Linked DNA regions of Pelodiscus sinensis. The protein of the gene in region 2 purifies or fractionates together with the protein of the main gene of each other region. This does not show direct contact. Links are inferred from orthologs where the notes say so. Each region holds a gene or a part of one and is shown on either strand. Other genes may lie near its edges.

Region 1 (9,992 bases), on a different chromosome or scaffold from region 2:
TTTGGGAAGCTAAGAAAATTTTGTATTTTTTGATATTGAATGAAGTTTGTTTTTGAGTTGTGATTCTTTTGGACTTAGGCCATTGATTTGTGTAAATATCTAGAACTTTGCTTTTTCAGGTGAATTTTAATGTATTTATCTTTTCAATATTCACTTAAAACTGTTTAAACATTTTGTATATGTTAAGTGGTGTTTGTTAACATTAGCAGGGTTAAAAAATCAGGGTTTTAATAAAGCCCTATAATAAATACACAACTAATAATCTTAATCTTACAGGTACTTGTGATTCTTCTTTTACAATCTTGTTAAAACTCAATCCAACACAATGCAAATTCTTTGTGGGAACAGTATCTTTGGGATCACAGCTTGTAACATGGCAGAACTATTGTGGGTCAGTGACCAGCTTTCACTAAGCAGCAATCAACACTGACTCAACTGAAAGCGTTATTGATGGTTCATAATCATGCTGGAAGAGCATAACAAGTGGGGTTCTGCAGGGGTCTGTTTTGGGACTGGTTCTGTTCAATATCTTCATCAACGATTTAGATGATGGCATAGAGACTACGATTATTAAAAGTTGGCAGATGATACCAAGCTGGGATGGGTTGCAAGTGCTTTGGAGGATAGGGTCATAATTCAAAATAATCTGGACAAACTAGAGAAATGGTCTGAGGTAAATAGGATGAAGTACTCCACTTAGGAAGGAAAAATCAGTTTTACACATACTGAATGGGAAGCGGCAGTCTAAGAAGGATCTAGCAACAGTCTATACAAAAGGATCTAGGGGTCATAGTTGATCACAAGCTAAATATGAGTCAACAGTGAAATACTGTTGCAAAAAAAGCAAACATGATGCTGGGATGCATTAACAGGAGTGTTGTGAGCAAGACATGAGAAGTGATTCTTCCACTCTACTCTGCACTGATTAGGCCTCAATTGTAGTATTATGTTCAGTTCTGGGCTCCATATTTCAAGAAAGATGCGGAGAAACTGGAGAAGTTCCAGAAAAGAGCAAAAAAAAAAAAAAAGAATAAAGATCTAGAAAACATGACTTATGAGGAAGACTGAAATAATTGGAAATGCATAGTTTGGAAAAGAGAAGACTGAGAGGAGACATGAGAGCAGTTTTCAAGTACCTAAAAGGGTGTTACAAAGGGGAGAGAGAAAAAATTTTCTCCTTGTTCTCCGATGATAGGACAAGAAGCAATGGACTTAAATTGCAGCAAGGGAGGTTTACGTTAGACATTAGGAAAAGCTTTCTGTCAGGGTTGTTAAACACTGGAATAAATTGCCTAGGGAGGTTATGAAATCTCCATCACTGGAGATATTTAAGAACAGGTTAAATATCTATCAGGGATGATCTATTCTCCACAGTACTTGGCCCTGCCATGAGGGCAGGGGACTGGACTTGATCTCTTGAGGTCCCTTTCAGTTCTAGCACTCTATGAACTGTATGGCTACATCTACATTGGCAAGATTTTGCGCAAATACTTTTAACGCAAGAGTTTTTACGTTAAAGTATTTGTGCAAGAGAGCGTCTACACTGGCATGTGCCTTTGCGCAAGACACGTGCTTTTGCGCAAGAGCGTCCGTGCCAGTGTAGCCATCGGGCTTTCTTGCGCAAGAAATTCATGTTGCCGGTCTACACTGGCCTCTTGCGCAAGAACAGTTGAGCAAGAGGGCTTATTCCTGAGCGGGAGCATCATAGTTCTTGTGCGAGAAGCACTGATTTCACACATTAGAACATCAGTGTTCTTGCGCAAGAACTCCCCGCCAGTGTAGACAGGCAGCAAAATCATGCCAATGTGTAGACAGCCTAGGAGTGGGCTACTGAGAATGACTGAACTGCCAGACCTCACCACTAGGCAGCAAACACCGGTGGCACTCTTTTGAAGCTTTGCCATCTGTATTTTCATGCACAGCTGTGTTTACAATGTGAAATAAACAATAACTCAGTTTCTGACATGGCAATGATGCACTGTTTTACACATATAATATTGGATATTTTGGTTTATGAGAGTGTGATGGACCATCAACCCATGCTTTATGAAATGGACTTCTGGACATAAATATATTTTACTCATAGATGCTTTGAACAAATTATTTCATGTAACCTATCAACCTTCATGTCAAAATCCGCTGGTTCTGTTTATTTTGGTGTATGTATCACTCTTGTGTGTGAAATTAGACACATGGAGTAGAGACTATTTTGTTTTTAAAATATGTAGATGGAAAGGCATCAAGTGGGGCCTCAGTGTCTGGGCAATCATATGCTATTGCCTTTTGTCCTTAAGGCTTAGTAGTGATAGTTGGGAGGGACCAGATGACTCCCCATACAATAAGGGTGTGTCTAGACTGGCATGATTTTGCGGAAATACTTTTAACAGAAAAGTTTTTCCGTTAAAAGTACTTCCGCAAAAGCGCGTCTAGATTGGCACGGATGCTTTTGCGCAAAAGCACCCATGGCCAGTCTATACACGATTTTGCGCAAGAAAGCCCCGATCGCCATTTTAGCCATCGGGGCTTTTTTGCGCAAAACAGTTCTTCCCTGTCTACACTGGCCCTCTTGCACAAGTATTCTTGCGCAAGAGGGCTTTTTCCCGAGCGGGAGCATGAAAGTATTTGCGCAAGAAGCACTGATTTTGTACATTACAAAGTCAGTGCTCTTGTGCAAATTCAAGCTGCCAGTGTAGATAGCTGGCAAGTTTTTGCACAAAAACAGCCGCTGTTGCGCAAAATCTTGCCAGTCTAGACGCACCCTAAGGGAATTCTTTAAAAAGAATAGACAAAGAGGAGTCTAGGTCTTTGGGCTGGCTCGACACACCCAGGGAGGATGAACCAGAGACCCTAGGCAAAGTGGAAATGTCCTGGTTTTGAAGGTGCACCTGGAACAGAAACAGTTTTAAGGTGAGTTTATAGTAAGTTTGTGCTGAGGATTTTTGTGTCAGAATTAGCTAAGCGCCTGTTACTTTTGAGTTTGTAATCTTTTTTGCGCTGACTATTCTCACTTATAACCACTTAAATCCTATTGCTTGTACTTAATAAAATCACTTTTGCTTACTATCAAGCCCAGTGTAAACAATTATTACCTGGGGGAGCAATCAATGTGCACATTCCCCCTTTCATTGTTAAAGGGGGCTCACCCAAGTAATTAATTGGGGATTTGATCCCATTTGGGGGAGTGGTATCCCAGGAAGCTGGGCCCCAAACTGCACTCTCCTTGGACCTGAATAGGTTCAGTGTTGGTACTGCTTCATGGGGGGGTGAGGGGTAGTAGGGATATGAGCTCAGGGCCTTGGCTGGGGGAAGAAAAGTGGAGCTAGCCTAGCAGCACCAGGCAGTGAAAAGCCCCAGAGAGTAGGTAGGTGAGTGGCAGTGGCCATGTCAGTACTCTGGGGGGCACACCCAAGGGGTCTTCCGTGACCTTACCCCGTCACAGAGACAACTTTGTGTGACGGACCGGGCCATGTCTGGGCACAGCTGAGGGCGTCTGCTCAGGGCGAATTGCTCAAATCCGGGGCTCCTTACAGCCCCCAGACTTGTGACCTCTCCATACAGGCCACAAACCAGTCCCACAGAACGCTTCAGCAGCCTGCCTGAAGCCTCACAAGCAAAACTCCTCCGACACCCCAGCAATAACCATGCCCCAGATGGCCCCGGACCTCATACACAGCTGGGGGGTCCTAGCACCCAATCCCACCTACCCCGAACAAGTTCTGTCCGGTTCCAAGAAATCAGCCACAGATCTCTGGCCAATTTATCCTTTGGACCTTACCCACAAATCACACTGGGCCAATCCTTTAGCATCTAACAACTAAAGGTTTATTAACATAAGAAAGAAAAGCATGAGAGTAAGGTTATTAAAGTACAGTACATTACATGCACCGAATCTCCCAGTTCTCGATGCAGGCTCTAGCAGAGATGTTGCAGCTGCTGGTTTAAAAGTTCTTATTGCACATCCTAAGATCAGGATGGGTTCACAGGTCTTCCGGGCTCTTCGATCCCTGCAGTGCTGCCTCTGGGATGAAGTGCTGAGCTGAGAACAAAATGGCATCGACCACATGGCCTCTTTATACCTCCTTCCTGGCCTCTTCTGGTATGCAGCAGGTCACCTGGTCCTCAGCCTCTCTGTGTTCCCTGCTGGCTGCTCTCAGGTGACAGCCCCCATTCTTTGGGTGTGTCTTTGGCCCATTGAGAGCCATTGTTCCACAGGTAATTAGCATGTCCACAGGCTCCACAGGCTCGGCCCTGCCCAATGCTTAACCACATGCAGGGAAATCTTCAGTGTCCACACAAGTACATGTTAATAATTGCACACACAGACATTATACAAACACATGAACAGCGTACATAGGATTATCAGATATTCAATACCTCACATGGCCCCCTTCTATACCATTTTTGGGGCCAACACCCCCACCTATGGGTGCATCAGTGATCTGGCTGCTCCCCTCAAGATCCAGCAATGTGACACTTTGTTTAAAGGGAAAAAAAATCACTGCCATCTAGTTTAGCAATCCTTAAAGCCTGGTGCCCTAAGTGACCACCTAGATCAGGCCTGGGAAAAATACGGCCAATCCCACCAGATCCAGCTCACAGAGGCACCAGGGAGACCTAGGCAGCTCCCCTGCTTGCCCAGCAGGCTGTTCAGAAATGTGGCTATTTGACCCTCTTTTCCTTGCAAAACTGTAATCTTGGAAGGAGGGAGGGGTGAGCTTCAGGCAGTGCCCCTGCCCCCAGCACAATCCCATTGGCTGGTTTCTGGCCAGAAACTGGCCAATGAGAGCAGCCTGTCTGAATAACAGGCAGCCAGGAAGCACCACCCCCCTTCCCCTCCAGCTGTTATTCACAGAAACACATGGCTAGGTGCAAGCTGGCTGACAGAGAAACATTTTAAGATCCGCAGGAAGGCAGATTTGGCTGCTGGCTTGTGAGTTTCCTGGCCAGAGCCTGCCTCTAGCACCCCAGCCCCTCCCTTTGCCAACCCTCTCTCCCAGATCTGCCCCCCCCCAATCTCCTGCACCAGATCATAATCCACTCCTACCCTAGGTCACATCCTAAAACCTTGCATCCCAGTCCCCTCCATTAGGTCACAACCACCTCCTTTACGCATTCTCACTCCTGCACCCCAAGCCCTTACCCCAAGCTCCCTTCTGCACCCAGCCTCCATCCCAGACCTTGCACCTCTTCCATTAATATCATGGAAGAGCGAGGCCCTTGACTACTTTTTCCAAAATCTTGGAGTGGCCTCGTCAAAAATTACTGCCCACCCCTGGCCTAGATAGTCAGGTGAGCCCTGTCCCCAGGCTCCTCCTTGTCTTCTGCCATCCTACTGCTCCTCTTCTCTCTGGAGCCCAACATCCACTGCCCTCGGGCTCTGGGAGAGGGGGGAAGGGGCCCTTTAAAGCACCGCTGGAACCCCCGGCAGCGCTGAGGGTGGGGGCGTTCCATGGTTGGGGCGGCTCTTCCACGATAGCGACCTTCCCCTCCCCCCAATTGCTCAGGGCCCAGCGAGGCTGTCGGCTCCCCCATTGCTCTTGTTCAACCCTAAGCCACACAAATTTCTGGCTTTACGCTTGGGAGCGGGCGCAGTATGGGCGTGGTTACCAGGGGAAACTTCAATTTCCTAACGCGCATGTGCAGAGTTGGCGCTTGCGCATTCGGGAGGGAGGGGGGTAACCATCGGAGCAATGTGCGCATGCGCAAAGGCGGGCGCTCGGTTCGGAGTCCTCGCCCGCGAAAGCAGCGTGACCGTTGGGGTTCGGGGTGAGTGTCCGGTTCTGTGTGTTGGCGGACGTTTGCGGGAGGCGGGGGGAGAAGGGAGAATGCGCGCGCGTCTTGCCTAGGCTCGCGCGCTGTGAGAAGAGCTGCGGTGCTGCCAGGGCTCTGGGTCAGCGGAGGGCCTGAGCGGCGGACAGAGTCAGGGTTGCCCCAACACGGCAGGACCTGGAGGGAGGGAGGGAGGGAGGGAGGAGTTGCGGCGCGCTGGGCACGGGGTGTGGGTTGCCCAAGCCGGGGCTGTCCGCTTCAGGGGGGTGCCGCTGCCTGTTGGGTTAAAGTGTGGGCGGAGCTGGGGTCTGTTTTCATGTCTACTCCGCCTCTTCACACCCGCAGCATTAGGCGTGGGTCTGGGCGGCGTTGCTCTGTGTGTGTGGGGGGTGGTTGTGGTGGCAATGGCCGCAGCGATCCCCCCTCCCCCGCCCTGACAATCACAGGGTGCTGGCTGGAGCAGGGGTGCAGGAGTGAATTGCCTCCCCAGAGACTGAGGGGGTTATTGCATGGGTGCTAGTGGGAAAGTAACCACCATGTTCGAAGCTTGCAGCAAAGTCTTGAGCTGCAGGGTCAGTTGTCTGATGAGTCCTGGGTTTTTAGTGGCATATAGTAAAGTGCCTTTAGGAGGTGGCACAATGAGGTGATTGTATTGTCCTGGTGCACTATTGTGATGTCATGATATAGCCATGCAAATGAAGGGTGGATCTCTCTGGTCTGCTACCCTCGGGACCTGACCAGTCCTGGATGAGGGGTTTTGCTGGACCAGCCTCCTGGCAGTATTCCTCTTGCCACCAGCCTCGCTGGTCCCAACACCTCCTTCCTTTCCTACTATGATGGTCAGCCCAGCTCCCTGTGTGCTGGGCTCCTGGCCCCATTGGGCAGCCCTGCTGTGGCACTCTGGGCTTCCAGCTCTGCTGGGTTGTGCCTGGCTGTCCAGATGCAGGGCACCAAGCAGCCCACCTGTGGGGAACCCAGCTGTCAGCCCTCCACCGGGACTCTCAGGTACAGGAATATCTGTGGTCCTGCTGGACAACGGATATTGCCGGACCAGGGAATCCCAGATTACAGAGGTTCGACTTATAGCATGGTGTCAAGATGCAGTTTCACACATTTTAATGGTAGAAAAATGGGAGGTAAACCTTGAGAGTCAAGACGGCTTGGTTTCCCGTTTCCCATTTCCCAGTGCAGAAACAGGGATGCTGCGTGCTCTCCTTTCATTGCTCATAAAAAGGATTTGCCTCGTGGGTATTTTAATGTTTGTAAAGCTCTTAGTGTATCATCTTTACATTGATAAATCATAGATCCTCCTCTCAGCTAATGAGGTATCTTGCTTCATCCAGTCCTATGTCAGGTTGTTTCTTCTTAGTCATTATTTTAAACTAAACATGGCCAAAACCTGAGATTTTTAACCTTTCCTCACAGGTTCTCTCACCTGGCCATCTTCTTTTATCAGCATAGACAACACTGCTGTTCTCCCTGTCACTCAGGCAGTGTAGTTTAGGTGTGATCTTTGATGGGGCCACTATGTTTTTAATCTTGCCTTTTTTTTAACACTGATCTTGAAAATCTAGCCTTTTGTCTCTTTTCTCTGCTCAGTGAAGACTCTCATCATAGTCCTCATGTTGACCTGATTGCTGCAACTTTTGCTTGCCTTGAGTCTATTCAAATTAAAGACCGCATTTCTGGTTCATCATTCTGATCATGTTAATTCCTAGTTTGCGTTGTCAATTGGCTCCCCCTTAATTTTGACACCAAATAAAAGCTTCTTGTAGTGCCTTTAAAGCAGGGGTCGGCAACCTTTTCAAACCAAACAGCCAAACTGTCTCAAAATTCTAAACAAATGATCATCAAAGAGCCGGATAAGAATGCCCATTTGCATAACAGAAAATATACAATTTAATATTATTAATAATTGACATAATGATTAATAGCATAAATGAAACCTTGTGCTCATGGACTTTATTTAATGGGACTTCCGTTGCTGCATTTTTTTGCACATTTCTTTGAAGTTTACATCATAACTGGTCAAATCCAGCTTTATGAACGCATTCAGGCTGTCTTTTGTCAATCTTATGGCGGGGGCTGGGGATGTGGTCGTGCAGGAGTCTTGGTGCAAGTGCATGAGGGACTCAGGGCAGAGGATTTGGGTGTATGATGGACTCAGTGCAAGGTTGGGTTGTGGGGGCATGCAGGACACAAGGTTGGGTTCTGTGGGGGAATGGGCTGAGGACAGGCTTACTGGTCGGGGGCAGGAGTGGGCTAGGGGCAGGGTATCTAGCTGGGAGGGGGGCTGAGTGAGGGGAAGTTTGGGGTTTGGGCATGAGGGTTGGGGGGCACTATGTGCTTTCACATTGAGTGTAACATAGCCCCCCCGCTGCTCCCATGTGCTGGAAGGAAGTCTTTAGACAGGATTCACAGGTGAAGCCTGCATGAAGTGCTTCCTAAGGGAAAGAGAATGGCACACAGCCGTTGGTTCCGCACCGGGGGGGAAGGATGGTGCATGGAGCCATTTTTCATTCTGTCTGTTCCCCACATGCAAGATCCGAAAGGGAGGCTCAGGGCTTTCCCTCCTCACTCCTTTCCCCCCACAGGAAGCTGGTGCTGGCGTTCCAGTCTTGTAGGGGTCATAAGGCTGTAGCGCCAGCTCTGGCTCAGTGCTGCTGCAGGAGCTGGGAGGCGGCTGAGTAGGGTCTCCAAAAGAGTCATATCTGGCTCCCTAGTGAGCCATATTTGGCTCGCAAGCCATGGGTTGCTGACCCCTGCTTTAAAGTCGTCTCTTAACTTAGCTCCTCCTATCTAACTGATTTAGTAACCTATTATGTCAGCCTATTATGATGTTTTTACTCTGCTAGTGCTTGCTCCCATCCTTTATCACCCATTAGTTAGCTGCTTGTTAAAAACCTCTGTGCTTTCGCCTATGCTGTCCCTGATGCTCAACATAACATATGAAGAATCACTTCTTTATCTTCTTTTTGAAACCTGGTTTTTGCTGTGATGTTTACTAATCTCAGCTTGTTAATTGTGGCTAAGCAGATGACCAGCTGAGACTATTCTCCTTTTCTTTCTCTACTCTTTTTCTTTGCACCTTTACTCTCAAAAAGTAAAGTTAAAACAAACAAACCTGCATCCATGTAACTAGCAAAGTCATGACCGCTGTTCACCATGTTCATTGCTCATTTGTTGCATCCACAACTTCTCCTTTTTGTTTGTCTTAAAATTGTAAACCCTTTAGGGCAGTTATTGTCTCTTTTGCTTTTATTTCCTTATAAGGCTAGCATTACTGGGTCCCAGTGCTGAATGAGGTCTTTGCGTTTTTCCATCATATTAATAGTCGTCATTCCTGTTAGGTAAAAAGTCTGATTATAATGAAAGATTGTCACCTCTTATTTATTTTTACTTCATTTCTCCGTATATGAACAAATACAACATTTTATTTTCCAGATCATCACTTCGGTCTTATTTTCCTATTGGAAGGTGACATACATATACAGTTAGCTGACTGGTGACAGAAACGTGAATCAAAATGCCTAATTTTGAACATCCAGAGTATCCAGAGGCTACCTTACTTCACTTGGAAAGTATGGTGCCCTGTCGAGAATCCCAGGTGTCATCACTGTTATCAGTATTTGGCAAGGTAACTCTTTCTGTATTGTGCCTTTGAGTAGATCAGACGTTGTACCATAATTTTTTTTGTTATGGGTGGGTTGGTAACAGACTTCAGTGCATTGTTATTCTGAGTTAGCCTAGCTGATTATATTTGTAATTTGAGATCTTATATTATGCATCTTTTGTATCAGTCTTCTCTAGTATGTGTCTAATAAACTTTAAAACATTAGCTGTCCTAAGCAAGCAGAAGCTTTATAGCAAATTTTTTCCTGTGGGCTGCTATTAGTTGGCTCTCCACTGCTAGTCATGTTTGGCTGCTGCAAGGTAGTGATAGGAAAGATCCTTGCTCTTCTCACAGTTCTGCTTTTCTTGGGTGGCCTTCTCGTGTGGATAACTCTAGTACTTGTCTGCTGTTGTGTAAGTGATTTCCCAACAGAAACAACATGAAACATGAATCTTGATAGCTTGTTGCTGCCCATAAGACTCTGAGATAGTGTCTGTAAAACTGATCACAGGCTCAGCCTCCTAGGGTATGTCTAGACTACGTTGTTTTTTCGAAAAACTTCACCTGCGTCCACACTGCAATCACATTCTTTTGAAATTAAATCAAAAGA
Region 2 (10,184 bases):
AAGGGAGTTTTCCAGACAAAGGAAGGCCGGGGGCGGGGGAAGTACTAGCCTCCCTACTGAGTTTCTCTCCCCGGCCACCTGGGCTCCTCTCCCCAGCCTCTTAGCCCCGCAAACTGCAGCAGCCCTTCCAGAGCTCCTGCCGACCTCACGCCAGCCCCACCGCCCTTCCGGAGCTCCTGCTGGCCCTGCCAACCTTGCAGCAGCCATGCCATCCCACTGGAGTTCCTAGCAGTTCTGCCGTCTGTGGGCTCCACTGCCCCACAAGCTCTGGCCCCAGTCGGCTTCCCTACCCTGCTGGCTGTAGGCTCTGCTGCCCCCATCAACTGGATTCAGATCTGCTTAGTCACAGTACCTTACTCCATGAATGGGTCCCATTAAGGACAAAGTAGGAAAGTGCTACTTAATGTAAGGAGATGAGAAGCCAGCTCCCTAATAGTTTTGCAGTAACACATATGGCATATGCAGAATATACATGATGGCAAAGATCTTACACCTGCAGATAATCTGACTTTCTAATTCTTGCCTATTCAACCCTGTAATGGTGATAAAGCCCCATCACACCACCAAGGGTACGTCTAAACTACATGCCTCCGTCGACGGAGGCATGTAGATTAGCCAGATCGGCAGAGGGAAATGAAGCCGCGATTAAAATAATCGCGGCTTCATTTAAATTTAAATGGCTGCCCCGCTCTGCCGATCAGCTGTTTGTCGGCAGATCGGGGCAGTCTGGACGCGCCGCGCCGACAAAGAAGCCTTTCTTGATCGGCACAGGTATGCCTCGTGAAACCAGGTTTACCTGTGCCGATCAAGAAAGGCTTCCTTGTCGGCACGTCGCGTCCAGACTGCCCCGATCTGCTGACAAACAGCTGATCGGCAGAGCGGGGCAGCCATTTAAATTTAAATGAAGCCGCGATTATTTTAATCGCGGCTTCATTTCCCTCTGCCGATCTGGCTAATCTACATGCCTCCGTCGACGGAGGCATGTAGTTTAGACGTACCCCATGTGTTTTTATAATGGACATGTGTGTTGTTTCATTTTCCTATCTAAAGAAAGCAAGCCCAAGTGGGATTCAACTGGAATTTTATTCAGAGTCTGGTTTGCACTTACTTCAGAGTCTCAATCTTCCGGAGCCTAGTAGATCTTGGAACCGCTCTTTCCAAAAGAAGCTCTGTAGTAACTTTGGACATGGTTAGTTTCTGCCACTTTCCTGGGAGCACAAAGCTGACAGCGGTAAAATGTCTTCCAGGAACTTTCTTGGTGAAAGAAACAAGAATTAGGAGGAGTCCTGTAAAACTTTTTCTCAACAAGAATGAAAGAAAAGGTGATGGTGCAACTACTCCTTTTTTTGTTGATAAATCAGACGTTTATTAGGTAATTTAATAATCCAGCCTTGCAAAACAATCATAAACATTTACCAAACTGGACATACATTTCACATCACCTGCCCCGACTGTCACAATGCTAGTAATAAAACCACTCGTGATACTGTGGGTCAGTTGTATCCTACATTGCAAACTGGCACAGGGACCACCTCTTAGTTCTGTGCATGACCAGAGCTCTTAGTTGCTATGCAAGTCATAAACAATATCTGCCTGCTGCAAGGTTTCTTCCTCTGAAATTTTACTGGCCACTGGATCGGATACCAGACTACAAAGACCGCTAGCTGGATCCAGGCTGGCAATCCTTAAATTCCTAAAATATTGCAAAACTAATCAAACTAGCTCAGTGGTGGGCAACCTTGGCTCAGCAGCCAAATGTGGCCCATCGGGGGTCTGTGTGGTCACGAGTAGGGATATTATTCGGTAACTGGTTACCCAGTAAGCATCGCTCTTATCAGGTGATGCTTATCGGGTAACGGTTAACTCATACCACAGGGAGCAGGCCCCTGATCACAGCCCACTGCAGGCAGAGGGCTGCTCCAGGTCCGCCAGACCTCCACACAGGCTGGGAGCTGGCAGCCCCATGTGGGGCTGGAAGCGGCGGCCATGGCACCGTGTCCCCAACATCATGTTCTAATCAAGACTGTGTTGCTACATTATGGGCCAAGTGACTGTGACTGGTTCAGTTCTGACTCAGGACAACACTGCATTGGTATGTTACAGGCCAAGTCTGAGAGGCTGTCACTGTTTTAGCACAGAGCTGCATTGCCATGTGACAGGTTCATGGGAAGCTGTAACTGCAACATCCTGCTCTGATACAGTTCTGGTTCAAAACAGCATTGCCCCATGATGGGTTCCTAGCTATGGTCGCATCACCATGATCCGGTCCAGTTCCAATGCAGGATTGTGTTCTCATGTTACGGGTGGCATGGCTGTGACTGTGTGACTGAGACCTGGTCCAGTGCCAGGTCCAGTCCAGCAAAGGGTTGAGTTGCCATGTGGTTGTGACCGGGTTAGGGTGTTCTGGTTCAGTTCTAGTGCAGGTTGTGTTGCCTTACTATGGGTTGTATGACTGTGACTAGGTCACCACGATTCTATCGCGGTGTTCCAATACAAGTCTGGATGGAGATTGCATTACCAGGGAGAGGTCACGTGGTTGTGACTGAGTCACCCTGTTTCGATCCAGTTCTGAGGTGGGATTAGATTACCACTCCATGGGGCTGTGGCCTAGCCACCCTGTGCCACTCCATTTCCAGCTCAGAGCAACACTGCTGTGCTAGGGGTTCTGTGGCTGTGATCAGGCTGCCACGGTCCGGTCCAGTGACCGCAAGGGACTATGCTGCTGTGTTAGCAGTTGCAGGGCTGTGACTGGGTGACAGTGGCCTGGTCCAGGTCTGCTGTGGATTTGCATGGCCATGTCAGGGGCAGTGATCAAGCCCTCCTCTTCCAGTTCAGTTCCGGTTATTCAGTTCCAGCTCAGGGCTACGTCGCTGTGTCCAGATCCAGTTCCAGCGAGATGTGGCACCAGCATGTTCTGGCCCAGATAGGGCGCCGAGCTCTGTGACATATGGCCGCAGCTGGGTCCTTGTGTTCTGGTCCAGCTGCAGACCAGGCCACGTTAACAAATGCGTTTGTGACCGTGTTGTGTTCTGGTCGGGTCCAGGGTAGGTCTGGGGGTGCAGAGCCGCCATGGGCATGTCCCCACGTCCCAGCTCAGTCCCGATTCAGAACCCTGCCTGAAACAGGGGAGGGGGGTGGAGGGGCCAGCACCCCCATGTCCCAGGCCAGCTCTGGCTCGGGACCCTGGCCGGGAGGGGGAGGGGCCGCAGACCCTCACGGCCCAGGCCGGCCTTGCTAGTGGAGGGGAGGTGGGGCGCAGTGCCCCATGGCCCATGCCGGCCCTGACAGGGAGCGGGGGGGGGGGAGCCCATGGCCCATGCAGCTTTGCCCGTGGGGGGAGGGGGAAGAGCCTCATGGCCCAGGCCAGTCCTGCCCGTGGTGAGTGGGGGAGGGGAGGAGAGCCCGTGTGCCAGGCTGGGGCGGGCGGACAGCTAAGGCCGGAAAAGGGCGAGAACTACAACTCCCAGCACCCCCCGGGGTCCAGCTCGGCCCTGTGGCTTGGCCGCCCGCCCCGCGGGCTGCTGGGAAAGCGAGTTTGGCGTGGGGGCGGCCGGCTCGGTTCCGAGCCTGCCGGAGCCGGGTCGTGGAGCCCGGGTGTCCCTCCCCCTCCCCTGCGGCGCCCTCCCCCCCCGCGTGCCCCGTCCCCTCACCTGCCGCCGGGGCCGCGCGCTGCCGCGCTGGGCCCCGCCGCCGCGACGGAGCCGGGGGGGCGCGCAGCCCGGCGGGCGGCGATCCGGGTCCGGGGCCCGAGCGGCGCCTCTCCCCGCGGGATGGAGGCGCGGGGAGCCGGAGGCGGCGGGGGAGCGGGGCCCGCCTGCGGCTGCAAGGGGATCCGCTCCTGCCTGCTCTGCGAGGGGCCCGCGCCGGCCGCTCCGCCCCCGCAGGTAGCGGGGGGAGGGACCGGGAGGGGGCGCCGAGGGATGGGACAAAGGGGCGCGGGGGGGGGCAGATGGGGGTGAGTTGGTGTAAGTGGATGGGGCGGGCTGAGAGGGGGGGGCGGGCAGGCACAGTGCCTCTTGTCCCTGGCTGCCCTCGGGCACCAGAGAGTGGCAGAGGGGGCGGCTGTTGCCTGCCCCCCACCCTTGCTCGAGAGAGAGGCTAAAGGCTGGGGGGGCTGCTAAACAGGCTGCTTCCATTCGGAGGAAACCCCACAAGCTCAGCCCCCCGCATTTCCAGAGCATGAGGGGAGGGTATTGGAGCTAGCTTCAGGCAACACCAGGCCTAGGATGCATGAGATTAAGGACTAGTCTTGCAGCGCCTTAAAGGCTAACAAAACACACAAATGGTATTAGCCTTTAAGATGCTGCAGGACTGTTCCTTGTTTAAGTTTTTCCAGTTCCAGACTAACTCAGCAACCCTGCTGAAGCTTTTATGCATGAGAGTGACATTGAGAGCTGCCTGAGCAGGGAGGATGCTACTGAGCCTCTGCCTGCAGAGGATGGGGCCACAACCTCCCCTGTAGGCCAGTCAGTAGCTGTTGCTTTGATACCTACACTGGCACCTGAGCAACAAAATTTTACCATTCACACATGCTAACATTCCCCAGAAGATTTGCCATGGCAAGCGTCAGTGTGAACAGCACGTGGTCAGCAGGAACACTCACCCGCTGCTTTTGGGAGGTGAAAGTATTTTGTCTGCAAGTGTGCTGACAGGCAGCAGCTACGGTGTCCAACTTCTACCAACATGGCCGTGCCAAAAGGACTGCGTTGCTAAAAGCTGTAGTGTAGACAAAGAGTTAACACCAGGATATTCCAGCCTGATTTGGATCTCTCCCTCTTTAGGCCTGTATCAAAGGCATCAAGAAAGTCATTAGCTATACAATTGGAGCACTCCAGTTGGCCAAACCACGTTCAGTCCAGTAGCAGTTGCTCACATCTCAACTAGAGCTAGGGGCAGGAAAGACATGCAAAATAGTTTGAGAGCAGCCTGCTGGTTAGTGCACTAGACCGTGGATCCAGTTTAAAGCATAGGTTTCTGTTACTCTAACCAGTAGCATCAGTAGAGGTGTTGTTGGTTTTGTAGAGGGTTTTGCATGAAGTCCATCACCCAGTGTAGTTGGCTACAACTCGGAACACTGAGGGATGGAAGAGGAGCAATAACCCCTCAAATATACACTGTATTTTAAGAAAGCACAGCTTGGTGATTTTTTATCCAGTGGCAGCTTGCGCTATAAAGGTATTACTGTTAAAGAATGAAAGTTGCAGAGATACAGCTGTAAAAGGAGAGTGACATTTCCCTGAAGAGAAACAGTACAACTGTTCAACTCTTAACATGTATCTAACCTATAACAACAGATACAATGGCAATGTCTTATTTTGCTGTGTCCTTTTTTATTTCTGCAGGAAAAAGGTAACTTCACTTATTGTCCAGCAACAGGTCTGGCTGTAGGAAATGAATGTTCAGAGTTTGCTGGCTGGGCATTTCCATTTCCAGGAGTGTTCTTGCTGGAGGAATTTATAAGCCAAGATGAGGAATATAAAATGGTTCAGCTGATGGATCAAGATGACTGGAAACTATCACAATCTGGCCGAAGGAAGCAGGTCTGAGTCCAGAAATAGGTTTCCTTCAGGGGAAGATTATTTCTTCACTTAACAAAAATCATGCTTTAGGTTTAATGTTTTCATTAAATTGATTCTTTCTGAAATAACAAATATTTGAAATTAATTTCTCTCAAGAGTGCATTTGTGATAGCTATAGTGAATCACGCTTGATATTGCACATTGAAACAATCTCAAACCACATTGATGTGCACAAGCAGGAAAACTTGAATCCAAAAGTATTATGACTTTCATGGGGCTATCTTACTGGTGCAGATCATCTTCTGATAAGTCACTGGCAAAGGTAGAAACAGAACCCAAGATGCCCAGGGCTCCCCAGTTTGTCCAGAGGATAGTGCCTCTCTAAAAGGGCATAACCCACATTTTTATTTATCATCATCTGCTTTTCCTTTTCAACAGGACTATGGGCCCAAAGTGAACTTTAAGAAAAAGAAGCTGAAAACTGGTGGCTTCTTTGGCTTGCCCAGTTTTAGCCAGGAGATTGTACAGCGAATGAAGGCTCATTCTGCATTAGAAGACTTCTTTCCTGTTGAGCAGTGTAACCTGGACTATCTACCAGAAAGAGGTTCTGCCATTGACCCACACTTTGATGACTGGTGGCTTTGGGGGGAGCGACTGGTTAGCTTAAATTTACTCTCAAAAACGGTGCTGTCCATGTCTTGTGAATCAGAGGATGGTCTCCAGTTAGTTGCCAATCACAAGCAAGCAATGGGGGAATCAAATCCCTCTGCCTCACCTCAAGCTTCCCAGAGCCACAAACAAAACCACCTTCCTTCCACAACAGTATGTGAAAATTTAGCCAGTTGGGATATTAACTACTTGTTTTCCTCAAGATTTATTCCATACAAAAAAGTTACTGTAGACATTCACTTACCTAGAAGATCCCTGATTGTACTATTTGGAGATGCACGGTATAAGTGGAAGCATGCAATATACCGCAAGCATATAGAGCATCGCCGGGTCTGTGTCACCTTCAGGGAGCTGTCTGCAGAGTTCGCTTTGGGAGGAGAGCAGGAAAAACTGGGTAAAGAACTCCTGGAAATAGCCCTGACATTTCAAGGAAAACCAGTGTAAGCATGAGAGAGAAACCTGGAATTATGAATTGTTTGAATAATTAAAAAATAAAGTTCAGAATTTTTGCAGTTTATCACTGTCTTATTTGGAGGCTGTTTAAAGGACCAAATTATGTAAAATATAAAAATTAGATCTCATGGAAATGTTACAACATTACCATAGATTGAAGAAGCGCAGCTGCTTTTAAAATAAGCCTGCCCTGACAGTATCACAATGCAAACATTGTAGTGTTAGCTGTTGGATGAGAATCAGAAATTGACTATTATACTTTTGTTCTTTACTACTTTGCATTTCATTATAGTTAAACAAACCACTTTAATCACTTAAACCTAAGGGCTGCGTCTACACTGGCCCCTTTTCCGAAAGGGGCATGCTAATTTGACACTTCGTGATAGGGAAATCCGCGGGGGATTTAAATATCCCCCGCGGCATTTAAATAAAAATGTCCGCCGCTTTTTTCCGGCTTTTAGAAAAGCCGGAAAAGAGCGTCTACACTGGCCCCGATCCTCCGGAAAAAAGCCCTTTTCCGGAGGATCTCTTATTCCTACTCGTTCCATGAGGCGTACAGCTAGTTTGGATTAGGAAGCCTAATTCGTGCCGCGTGTAGCCGCACGGCACGCAGTCCGAACTAGCTGGCATTTAAAAATGGTGCCGGCTGGGATCATACAAATGAAGCCCAGGAAGTTCAAATCCCGGGCTTCATTTGCAACTCCGTATGACTACATTAACCCCCCTACTTCAAACTAGGGGGGTAGTGTAGACATACCCTAATTTACCACAGGACTCTCCATTGTTTTTCCTTTGTAATGTGCTTTGACATATACTGATCTCAAGCACTTGATAACAGCTAGCTATTATTATTCCAATTTTCAAGACAGGGAATAGAGGCAAAGAGGAGCTAAGCGACCAACCCAATGTCAAACAGGAAGTTTGAAGTATTGCAAGAAGAAACATAGTTTCCCAAGTTTGAGGCTTATATCCTAACCACTGGACCATCCCCAAACCCCTCGTAGACACAGTTTCATGAGTCTAATATAGTGCTACAGAAATAATAACAATAATCATGGCTGCACCAAGTCTGCATAGATCCTTGCTGTGAATCCTCAGTCATCTTCAGGGCTTGCTTTTGTTGCAAACCAGAGGATCAAGGTATGAGTCTGCTATTCTGTAGCATTACAAGAAGATGGAAGCAGCCTGTGGGTGAGTGAAGTAGGGGGACAGAATATGAAGGCTATGGCTACACTGGCAGCTTCTTGCACAAGAACTCTTTTGCAGAAGAGTTCTTGTGCAAAAACTCTTCCACAAGAGAGTGTCTACACTGGCATGTGCTTTTGCGCAAGAGAATCCATGCCAGGGTAGATACTCTTCCACAAGAAAGCTCTGATGGCCATTTTAACCATAGGGCTTTCTTGCACAAGAAATTCATGTTACCTGTCTACACTGGCCTCTTCTGGAAGAGCTCTTGCGCAAAAGGGCTTCTTCCTGAGCGGGAGCGTCAGAGTTCTGGCGCAAGAAGCCCTGATTTTATACATTAGAACATCAGTTTACTTGCGCAAGAACACACGGCCAGTGTAGACAGGCAGCAAGTTTTTGCACAAGAGCTGCCGCTTTTGCGTGAGATCGCACCAGTGTAGACACAGCCCTAGGCTGCGTCTAGATTGGCATGATTTTCCGGAAATGCTTTTAACGGAAAAGTTTTCCATTAAAAGCATTTTTTGAACAGAGTGTCTAGATTGGCACGGACGCTTTTCTGCAAAAGCACTTCTTGCGGAAAAGCGTCCATGCCAATCTAGACGCGCTTTTCTGCAAAAAAGCCCCGATCGCCATTTTCACGATCAGGGCTTTTTTGCACAAAACAAATCTGAGCTGTCTACACTGGCCCTTTTGTGTGAAAGAGACTTTTGCCTGAACGGGAGCAGAACAGTATTTCCGCAAGAAGCTCTGATTTCAGACAGTAGGAAGTCAGTGCTTTTGCAGAAATTCAAGCGGCCAGTGTAGATAGCTGGCAAATTTTTCCGGAAAAGCGGCTGATTTTCCGGAAAAACTGGCCAGTCTAGACACAGCCCTAGTGTTTAGAGCTCAGACACCGGACTGGTACTCCAAGATCACTATTCAACTCCCATCTCTCCCATGGATGTTATGCCACCCTGTCATATTTTCTCCGCCTATGGACAGGATAATGCTTCGCTATGTCACCAGGGCACTGCAATAAGGCATGGATGGGAATACGCAGATGCCCAGACACTGTGGTGAGGGGGGCCCCATAAGTGCTGTAGAAATGGGGCTTGTCATGGAGAAACCGAACAGGAGCCCCCACCCCTAAGCTGCTGAGACAGGCGAATATTCTTTGGGAAGCAGAAGGCTGCTCTGTGTGTGCAGCCCACCCCCCAGGGAAACGTGCCTTGGCAGGGCTGGGAAAGCCACGGGCCCGCCCCACACTCCCAACACACACACGAGCACGCCCTACACACACGCCCCCTCCGTGTCCACCTCCACACGTACGCACCCCCCCACACACACATCCCCGCCACGCAAGGACAAACACGTGTACACCCCACACACGGGAACCCCCCCAACACACACACACACACACACCGCCGCGCGCGTACCCCACGCCACACGGAGCCGCGCGCGGGCGGGGAGCTCTAGACCCTGCCTGCCGGGCCTGCCCCGCGGGGCCGCTTCGGGCTGGGCGAAGGGGTCACCGAGACCCCCGTGGCGACCCGTTATCGGGGCGGGGGGGGGAACGCTGAGGCTTCAGTAAACCCGCCCCTCCCTCACCTCCGCCCTGGCTGGGCGCCCCCCCCCCCCCCCACTTCCGAGTCCGCGCGCCAGGCCCCGCCCCGCGCCCGCCGTAGAGAGGAGAGGCCAGCGGGGCTCCCTGCCCGGCCCTGCGGCGCCACCTGCTGGTCGGAGTGGTCTGTTGCTGAGTGAGTGCGCTGCGGGGGCGGTGGGGGTAGGGATGTGGCAGAGGCCATAGCAGGTCTAAGGGCAGCTGGGAAGAGGGCACCCGCCCAGGGGGCTGCAGATCAGGAGGGCGGGTGCGGGGATTACTTCCCTCTATTTTTCCCCACCCCTGTGCAGAATAAATGTTGTTCTGTGCACCGGGGAGGGCATGCAGCTGTGCACCACCAATCCAAACACATACTGCGGGCTGTGGGCACTCTGCTAATCAGCTGGGCAGCAATGGAATCTCATCTGAGCAGCAGGCCAAGGGCACAGCTTCCTGGGAAGCCTGCTGGGGGACTGCGGCATCCTTCATAGGCCTGCAACCCGCTGGGGCTGCCCTTGTCCTACAGTTCCTGTGCACCAAAGTGTGTAGCCCAGAGCACCCGAGGGATCTCTGGTGAGGGGACAGTGCGAATGCCCTGAAATGGGCTGGCATGTGTGGTCTGTGCCCAACAGAGCACCATTCCTTGCCCGCTGTCTGTACACCAGAGAGTGCCCCAGACTCAGCAGCGCACTTGTGGGTCACCCACGTACCACAGTTGTGCCCAAAGGCTGGGAATAATCAGGCAGGCTCAGGCAGATGCTCAGGACCCATGGTCAGAG

What was found.
Region 1: the proteins of LRWD1 (region 2) and ORC5 purify together in Homo sapiens (affinity purification with mass spectrometry; 4 studies listed by BioGRID and IntAct, with this or other methods). This does not show direct contact. The link is inferred for Pelodiscus sinensis from reciprocal best matches to the Homo sapiens genes LRWD1 and ORC5.

The regions. Positions count from the first base shown.
Region 1 is NC_134711.1:24,344,852-24,354,843, reverse strand, and holds the start of ORC5 (origin recognition complex subunit 5), read left to right. Parts: upstream 1-5,636; 5' UTR 5,637-5,766; intron 5,767-5,801; exon of another isoform or gene 5,802-5,890; intron 5,891-9,213; 5' UTR 9,214-9,295; coding exon 9,296-9,406; intron 9,407-9,992. UniProt on the Homo sapiens protein: Component of the origin recognition complex (ORC) that binds origins of replication. DNA-binding is ATP-dependent. The specific DNA sequences that define origins of replication have not been identified yet.
Region 2 is NC_134731.1:15,872,673-15,882,856, forward strand, and holds the start of LRWD1 (leucine-rich repeat and WD repeat-containing protein 1), read right to left. Parts: upstream 4,701-10,184; 5' UTR 4,686-4,700; coding exon 4,604-4,685; intron 3,885-4,603; coding exon of another isoform or gene 3,771-3,884; exon of another isoform or gene 3,651-3,770; intron 1,255-3,650; exon of another isoform or gene 1,251-1,254; coding exon 1,109-1,250; intron 1-1,108. Other genes in the region: alpha-ketoglutarate-dependent dioxygenase alkB homolog 4, read left to right, coding at 3,771-3,884, 5,343-5,540, 5,958-6,603, 9,442-9,566. UniProt on the Homo sapiens protein: Required for G1/S transition. Recruits and stabilizes the origin recognition complex (ORC) onto chromatin during G1 to establish pre-replication complex (preRC) and to heterochromatic sites in post-replicated cells.